2 linked regions of the Sus scrofa genome follow. The protein of the gene in region 1 purifies or fractionates together with the protein of each later gene. This does not show direct contact. Links are inferred from orthologs where the notes say so. Each region holds a gene or a part of one and is shown on either strand. Other genes may lie near its edges. The genes, in order: TBCCD1 and PPP2R1A.

What was found.
Region 2: the proteins of TBCCD1 (region 1) and PPP2R1A purify together in Homo sapiens (affinity purification with mass spectrometry; 4 studies listed by BioGRID and IntAct, counting the BioPlex papers as one, with this or other methods). This does not show direct contact. The link is inferred for Sus scrofa from reciprocal best matches to the Homo sapiens genes TBCCD1 and PPP2R1A.

Annotation. Positions count from the first base shown.
Region 1 is NC_010455.5:124,377,512-124,381,326, reverse strand, and holds part of TBCCD1 (TBCC domain-containing protein 1), read left to right. Parts: intron 1-1,187; coding exon 1,188-1,343; intron 1,344-3,815. UniProt on the Homo sapiens protein: Plays a role in the regulation of centrosome and Golgi apparatus positioning, with consequences on cell shape and cell migration.
Region 2 is NC_010448.4:57,933,720-57,937,534, forward strand, and holds part of PPP2R1A (serine/threonine-protein phosphatase 2A 65 kDa regulatory subunit A alpha isoform), read right to left. Parts: intron 805-3,815; coding exon 631-804; intron 335-630; coding exon 274-334; intron 1-273. UniProt on the Homo sapiens protein: The PR65 subunit of protein phosphatase 2A serves as a scaffolding molecule to coordinate the assembly of the catalytic subunit and a variable regulatory B subunit.

The sequences.
Region 1 (3,815 bases):
GGTGTGGCCCTAAAAAGAAAAGAAAAAGGAAAAAAAAAGGATTACATGGGATCTCTCTGTTCTTACAGCTCCGTGTGAATCTACAGTTACCTCAAAAAGTTTAATTAAGAAAGTAACAATTTAAAAAATATACAGATTCGTGAGGTTCCATGTTGACAGTTGATTGACTAGGCAGGTTTAGGTGATCCTGAGAATTGGCATTTTTAAGTTCCTTAGGCATAGCAATTTTTAGGCTGGTTGGGAATCAGGACGAGTATAGCTGTAGTCCAAGATGTACTGCTTCGCTTTTTTTGCCTCTCTTATATGTGTATGGGAAGGAGTATGTGAGGATAGTTGTGGGCTTCAAATACTGAGCTTCAGACCACACACTTTTTCCAATAAGAATTGACTTATAAACATTTCTCAGGTAAGTAGTATTTTTTTTAAGTCAAATACCCTTTTAAGAATTTGATAAAAACCTGAGGTTAGGTCTGCTCTCCCACAAAATGTATATACACCCAAAAATTACATACAATTTCAAGTGTTGCACTGATATTCTAAACTTTCTTGTTAAGTTTGTGATTAGGTTAAACTAATCTCTATGTCTTGTTTAAGTTTCCTTTTTCCTTTTTTTCATCTGTTTGTTCAATTACTAATTATTATTATTATTATTATTATTTTTGACTGTCCCGTAGCATATGGAGTTCCCCAGGCCAGGGATTAGATCCGAGCCACAGTTGTGACCTAAGCCACAGATGCAGCGGTGCTGGATCCATAACCCACTGTGCCAGTCCAGGGATCAAACCGACGTCCCAGCATTCCCAAGAGGCTGCCGATCCCCTTGCGCCACAGTGAGAACTCCAACTAAGATTTTTTTTTTTTAACTGTAATTTTAAACTTGTGAAATAATATACTTTAAAAAAATACATGCTTCATCCTTTCCACTTCATCTGTTTGAGAGAGAATGTCTATGGTCATACATGCTACATAGCTTTCTGAGAAGCTAAGAAATTTTACCAGTTTAATTAGTTTGAGAAACTCCTACATCTAGGTATCAGAGACATGCATATCAAATGCTAGCAACCTTTCTACATTTGTCTTCTTAGGATCAGCACACTGTTGGGTATTTACTATGTCTGCTTAGTTGTAGGCTAGTGGTTGATGTGGTTTTAGGACATGTGTTCATCATTTATTTTCTTCTTGGACAGCTTTCAGTGGACACCCTGCAGTTTCTGCTCTTCTTATATATACAGCAGTTAAACAAAGTCTCCCTGAGGACATCTTTGATTGGAGAAGAGTGGCCTAGTCCCAGACACAGATCTCAGTCTCCTGACCTGACTGAAAAATCCAGTTGTCATAATAAGGTACTGTTTAAATTATGGTCTCTTTCTTTAAAAGGGACAATTTGTGAGGGAGAAGGTTTGCCTTCATTAAAAGTTACTTTAAATTACTTATATAAGCCAGAGATTTGCTGGCATATTTTGTTTTGTTTTGCTTTTCACTTTTTTCCCTAATTATAAAACAAAATATGTGCAATCTTGGAAATCCCTGATGGCTCAGCAATTTAAGGATCTGGCATTGTCATTGCTGTGGCATGGGTTTGATCCCAGGTCTGAGAATTTCCACATGCTATATGCATGGCCCCCAAACAAACAAGAACAACAACAACAAAACCCCAAATATGTGCAATCTTAATCAAAATAGAGAAGCTACTTCACTTCCTTCAATAACACAAAAATCACTTAGATAATATCTGGGCAAATTATTCACTGTACTTCTGTTAGCATTCCCATTTTTGCAAATATTAATGCATTTGATTTCATATGAGTTGGGGCAAGTCAGTTCACTTCTCTTGCTGGGCTTCTTGACTCTAAACAGGGATGATAATGCCAATTTCTGAATAGCTGTGAGAATTCAGTAATGTATTAGCATGAGACTTGTTGCATAGTAAATACCTGTATATGGTGACTTTAGTTTGTGCTATAGCATGACTTCTCTCAGCATCTGATTGGACCGGGGATGGACACTTGACTAGAGTCACCCATTCCTAGTATGTATTTGAAATTTGTTGGATTTGAAATGATGATCTGGCTCAATCCATACCCCCAAAGACTGAAGAAAAGACCAGTTGTGATGGGTGTTTGTGCTGGTAGCTCATGTGGCATTGGGACCAGAATAGCTACCACATCCATCAGTGACCTGGAATTATGAGATTAGCAACTCAGAGGTAATCAGAGAAAAAGAAGAGAATGGAGCAGACATGCAGAAAGACCTGAGAGAGAACCAGGTTCAAGGTGGCCTCCAGGTCCAGTTCTGATGAGGCCTCCTTGTACTTCAGTCCGGGAGAGGACTATGTGTTCCTACAGTAAAATTTCCTTTTATTTGAATTAACCTGTATTGTCTGCTAGTGACAATTACCACCAGCTACCCAGGCTCTCTCTGTCACCACCCATACCTAGTTAGTTGTCAAGTCTTGCTGGTTCTGCCTCCAAAATAACTCTTTAATAATTTATCCCCTTTTTTGCTCTTATATAGGCCCTACTTTGTCACCCTGCTTTTTATCTGTAGTCCACCTACTACACTGGACTTTCTAAAATACAGACCGATTCTATCCATCTCCCGTCAAAACTCCATCAGTGAATTCTCATTGTAATCGTTGTTTTCATCTTGTACTCACCATGGGAGGGGGGAATGTAGCAAGAGGGAGGAAGAGCAGGTGAGGCCGTGGCAGCTCTACTTTAATATGTTCTTTGCCATCCAAATGAGAGTTTATTAAAAATAAAAAATGGTATGGCTGTTTACAAAATAGTCTGAAAGTCTCTGGCGCTCAAAATAAAGTCCAAATGTTTTAGTATTTCACCCAAGGCCTTTCATGAATGGTCGCTGCCTACCATTTTATTTTTTTAATTATTTTTTATATTTTATTTTATTTTGTTTTTTTGTCTTTTTAGGGCTGTACCCACGGCATATAGAAGTTCCCAGGCTAGGGGTCCAATCGGATCTGTAGCCTCTGGCCTACACCACAGCCACAGCCACGCCAGATCCAAGCCGCATCTGCGACCTACACTACAGCTCATGGCAACTCCAGATCCTTAACCCACTGAGCGAGGCCAGAGATCAAGATAGATACTCATAGGTACTAGTCAGATCCATTTCCACTGAGCCCAACAGGAACTCCCTGCCTACCATTTTAAATTCAACTGCCACTTCCAGCATACTTCCTACACCCTATTTAGAACTTCCATGTCTCTGAACACAGCAAGTCATTTTACTCCTATGGGCCTTTGGATGCTGTTGCCTAGGCCTGGAATGCTTTCTTTATCTGATCTGTTTGCATAACTGCCAACATCAATCAAGAATCTGTTCAGGGGTTCCCGTCATGGCGCAGTGGTTAACGAATCCGACTAGGAACCATGAGGTTGTGGGTTCGGTCCCTGCGCTTGCTCAGTGGGTTAACGATCCGGCGTTGCCGTGAGCTGTGGTGTAGGTCGCAGACATAGCTCGGATCCCGAGTTGCTGTGGCTCTGGCGTAGGCCGGTGGCTACAGCTCCGTTTGGACCCCTAGCCTAGGAACCTCCATATGCCGCGAGAGCGGCCCAAGAAATGGCAAAAAGACAAAAAAAAAAAAAAAAAAAAAGAATCTGTTCAAACTACACTCCGCTAAGATTTGTGTGCCCCAGATGGAGTTCTTTGTTCCTCTCATGCTGATAGAATTTAAAGATCTCTTCGGTAGGGATCTCACTGGATTACAGTTATTTGTTTATCTTGTCATTTTAGTACATAGATCCTGAATTCCTTGAGGACAACTATGTCTTACTCAATTTGCATAATTCATC
Region 2 (3,815 bases), on another chromosome or scaffold:
AGCAACTTGCTGTTATTAAGCTTCGACAGCCAGGTGTTGGCGTCAAACCCAGGCTGCCTGCATGGCAGCCCTGAGACATCACCGAACCCGCAGCCCCTGGGACCCCTCGTGGCCGCCCCCTCCGCATACTTCTCCAGGACGCCAACACGCAAGGGAGCTGTCCTCGTGAGCATCCGGGGAGAGGGGCTCCAGCCTCCCCCGCACCCACGGGACACACACCTGCCCCGGCCAATGCGCCCGCACAGCCTTCCCAGAGCCCCCGCCCAGACTCACCGTGATCCACAAGCCAGGCCATGCACAGGGAGTTGAGCTTCTCATCAAAGAACTCCACCCCCTGCAGGAGAACAGGCGGGAAGGGGTTGAGGGCGCCTGGGGAGTTGGCAGCGATCCCCAGGGAACCCCCCCTCCCCCAAACAGCTGGGACATGTCCCATCTTCACCTGAGGGGCTCTGTTCTTCGTTCTCATCTCACTCTACCCATCTTGTGAGGCCCTATCTCCTGGGTACTTTCCTCCGCCTCCTGACACCCCTCACCTCCCAGGGAGCCCTCGCGGCCCAGGCTCCCCGCCAGAGCCGCACCCACAGTCTAGCGCCCCTGGGCAGTACACCCGGCCCTGGGCTCCGCGCTCACCAGCTGTCCGGCCAGCAGTGGCATGTACTCAATGATGGCCAGCCGGACCCGCCACTTGGCATCCTCGGCCAGCTCCACGATGGCGGGAAGCAGGGACTGGGACAGCTGCCGGATGCCAATCACCTCATTGACGCAGTCCAGGTTGGAGATGATGTTGAGCCGCACCTCCGGGCACTGAGCAGAGGAAGGGGGTTCTGAGGGAAGGCCCCGTGCGCCAGCGGAAGCCGGGACAGGGGGAGGGCTCCACCGCCCAGCTTCGCCGAACACACATCGCCCAAGGGCGGGGCATGACTGCCCACAACCTGCTCCTGGCCCCGGGGCCGCATCAGAGGCCCCCGCAAAGGGAGCAACATGGATCATGAGTGGAGCAGCTTTTCAACTCTCACAACAGCAGCACGAGAAATGTGGAGCCAAAGCCCGGTGCCCTGGAAAAACAGCCAAGATGGTACCCAGCTGCGCCGTCTGCCAGCGGGGAGCCTTGTGGCAAGGGACCTGCCCTTTCCGGGTACCAGTCTCTGACATGGAAACACCCCTCATCCCAGAGGGTGGCTGAGCCTACGGAACCACCTGCCAGCGTCTGATCCACAAAGACCTTGACGTGAAGCTTAACGCTTTGCTCATTTCTCTTGCTTTTATTCTCCCTGCTAGTCTCTGAGCTCTGCTAGAAGAAGCATGGCTCACTTATCCTTATGTCTTGGGACTCAGCAAGGTTTCTAGGCCACAGAGGGTGCTCAACACATTTCTGAAACCAAGGAGTAAAGAATAATTTCTGAACCGCTAGCTGACTAGTAATATCTCGAGCTCTGCTCTACAGTAAGGGCACACACACAGGGATCCCCGGCTTCTCGAACGTTCCCTTTACACCACTATGGGTAGATGAGAGACCTCTGCTTGTACCTGCTTCTGCTCACCAAAAGAAACCCAAGGATTTTTGCTTTTACAAATAAGGAAACTGCTTCTTTGTTCCACAGTGCTGTGGCATATGGAAGGTCGCCCAGGAGTGCTCCACCTGAGGGCACCAGGACCCTGCACCCCATGCACCCCCATAATCATGCGAAGCGGCTTGTAGGAAAAAGCACCGAAACAACCATCACGTCGCACCGCCTCTCTGCAGGTCACGCTTTCCTGGATGATAAGACGCTACGGTTACTTCATTCTACGTCTCCCTCCAGGAGCTGAGGGGCGAGGAAGCAAGTGCTGAAATCCATCAATGCACCAAATAAGCAAGTGTGCAGTAAAAGGTTAAAAAAGATGGCCCCGGGAGTTCCCATCGTGGAGCAGTGGTTATCAAATCTGACTGGGAACCTTGAGGTTGCGGGTTGAATCCCTGGCCTCACTCAGTGGGTTAAGGATCCAGTGTTGCCGTGAGCTGTGGTGTAGGTCGCAGACACAGCTCGGATCCTGAGCTGCTGTGGCTCTGGCGTAGGCTGGCAGCTACAGCTCCGATTCGACCCCTAGCCTGGTAACCTCCATATGCTGCGGGAGTGGCCCAAGAAATGGCAAAAAGACAAAAAAAAAAAAAAAAAAAAAAAAAAAGACGGCCCCAACCAGCACCTGGACCATCCAGCCTGATTTAAAAAAAACAAAAAACAAAAAAACGGGGTCTTTTGTTTACTTTGTGTACTTGGGGGCCTCGGGCCATGTCAGATAGATTATGCTGACGAGGTGATTTATGCTGGGTACCTGGGGCCATGTGGCATCAGCCTGACCTCTGCAGTGGCTAGAGACAGAGTAACCCAAGGTCAGCCATGCGTGCGGCCCCATCCAGGCCTATGTGATCAGACCAGGCCCCCGTAAAAACCCTGGACACCAAGGCTCGCCAGCAGCCTCCGTGGACGCCATCCCACGCAGGCGCTGGGAGAAGTGAACCCAGTCTCAACTCCCCTGGGAGTTCCAGGGAAACTGGCACCTGGCCTCTTAGGCACCGTTCCCCTTGGCTGATACTCATCTGCATCCTTTCGCCGTAACCCAGAGCAACCATGAGTGGAACAGCTCTTCTGAGCTGAGGATGGTTGGGCAAATCTTGGACCTAAGGGTGGCCATGGGGTAAGACCCATGAGCAGTAACGGAGAGCAGTGGCCGCGGCGGAGGATAGGACAGCCTCAGCTGCTGGCTCCACAGTGACAGGCCCCTCCGACAGGCCCTTGGAGAAGTGCAGGCGAGGCCCTTCTTCCTTCGTCAAAAACACCAAGAGTCTCCTTTAGAATGAAAGAAAGGGAGTTCCCATCGTGGCGCAGTGGTTAACGAATCCGACTAGGAACCATGAGATTTCGGGTTCAATCCCTGGCCTTGCTCAGTGGATTAACGATCCGGCGCTGCCGTGAGCTGTGGTGTAGGTTGCAGACGCGGCTCGGATCCCGCGTTGCTGTGGCTCCGGCGTAGGCCGGCGGCTACAGCTCCGATTCGACCCCTAGCCTGGGAACCTTCATATGCCGCAGGAGCAGCCCTAGAAAAGGCAAAAAGACAAAAAAAAATTAATTAAAAAGAAATTAATTAATTAAAAAAATAGAATGAAAGACAGCGGTTTCCCGCCAGCTCGTCTAATGGCTAAAGCAGCATCTCAGCGCCAAGGCCGCCTCCCTCCCTCCTCAGGCCCAGTGCGGCTCTTCCTAAAGCCGAGGGCTCGGGGAGCGGGAAGGAACAGTCCCGTGTGATCCGCCTGCCTCGCTTCCAGGCACATTCCTTCACATCCTCCGCCAGACAGAGCTGCTGCAAATGCTGGTGAAACACTGGTCCATAAGAACATAAAACAGACATTTTTACCTTTTCTGCAAAGGACACTGTATCCAATGAGGACAAGAGCCTCAACCGTCACAGCGGTAATCAACAGCTTCTCAGCCTCCCCTCTTTCTCTAAAGGAAGATTTCCGCAGCGGGAATCTCCTATGTCTGCCACCATCTGCACCCCCAGCTGGGGGGTGAGATACTTCCGTACGTATCAGAGTCTACTGCTGGGTGATCACGGGAGTGCACAGATGATTCGAGTAAGCCGGGAGGGCCCAGACGCGGTCAGACGCCAGGGCCGGGAGGTGGGCGCCCCTCCCTCCGCACAGGATGGGTGGGTGCACCCATCAGAGCCAACCAAGAGCAAGACTTCTTCCTTGAAGAAGCTGAAAACCAACTGGATAGAGACCTAAGTTCACGTACGTGAGCTTAGAGGGAACTCAAGGGCACGTACAACCATTT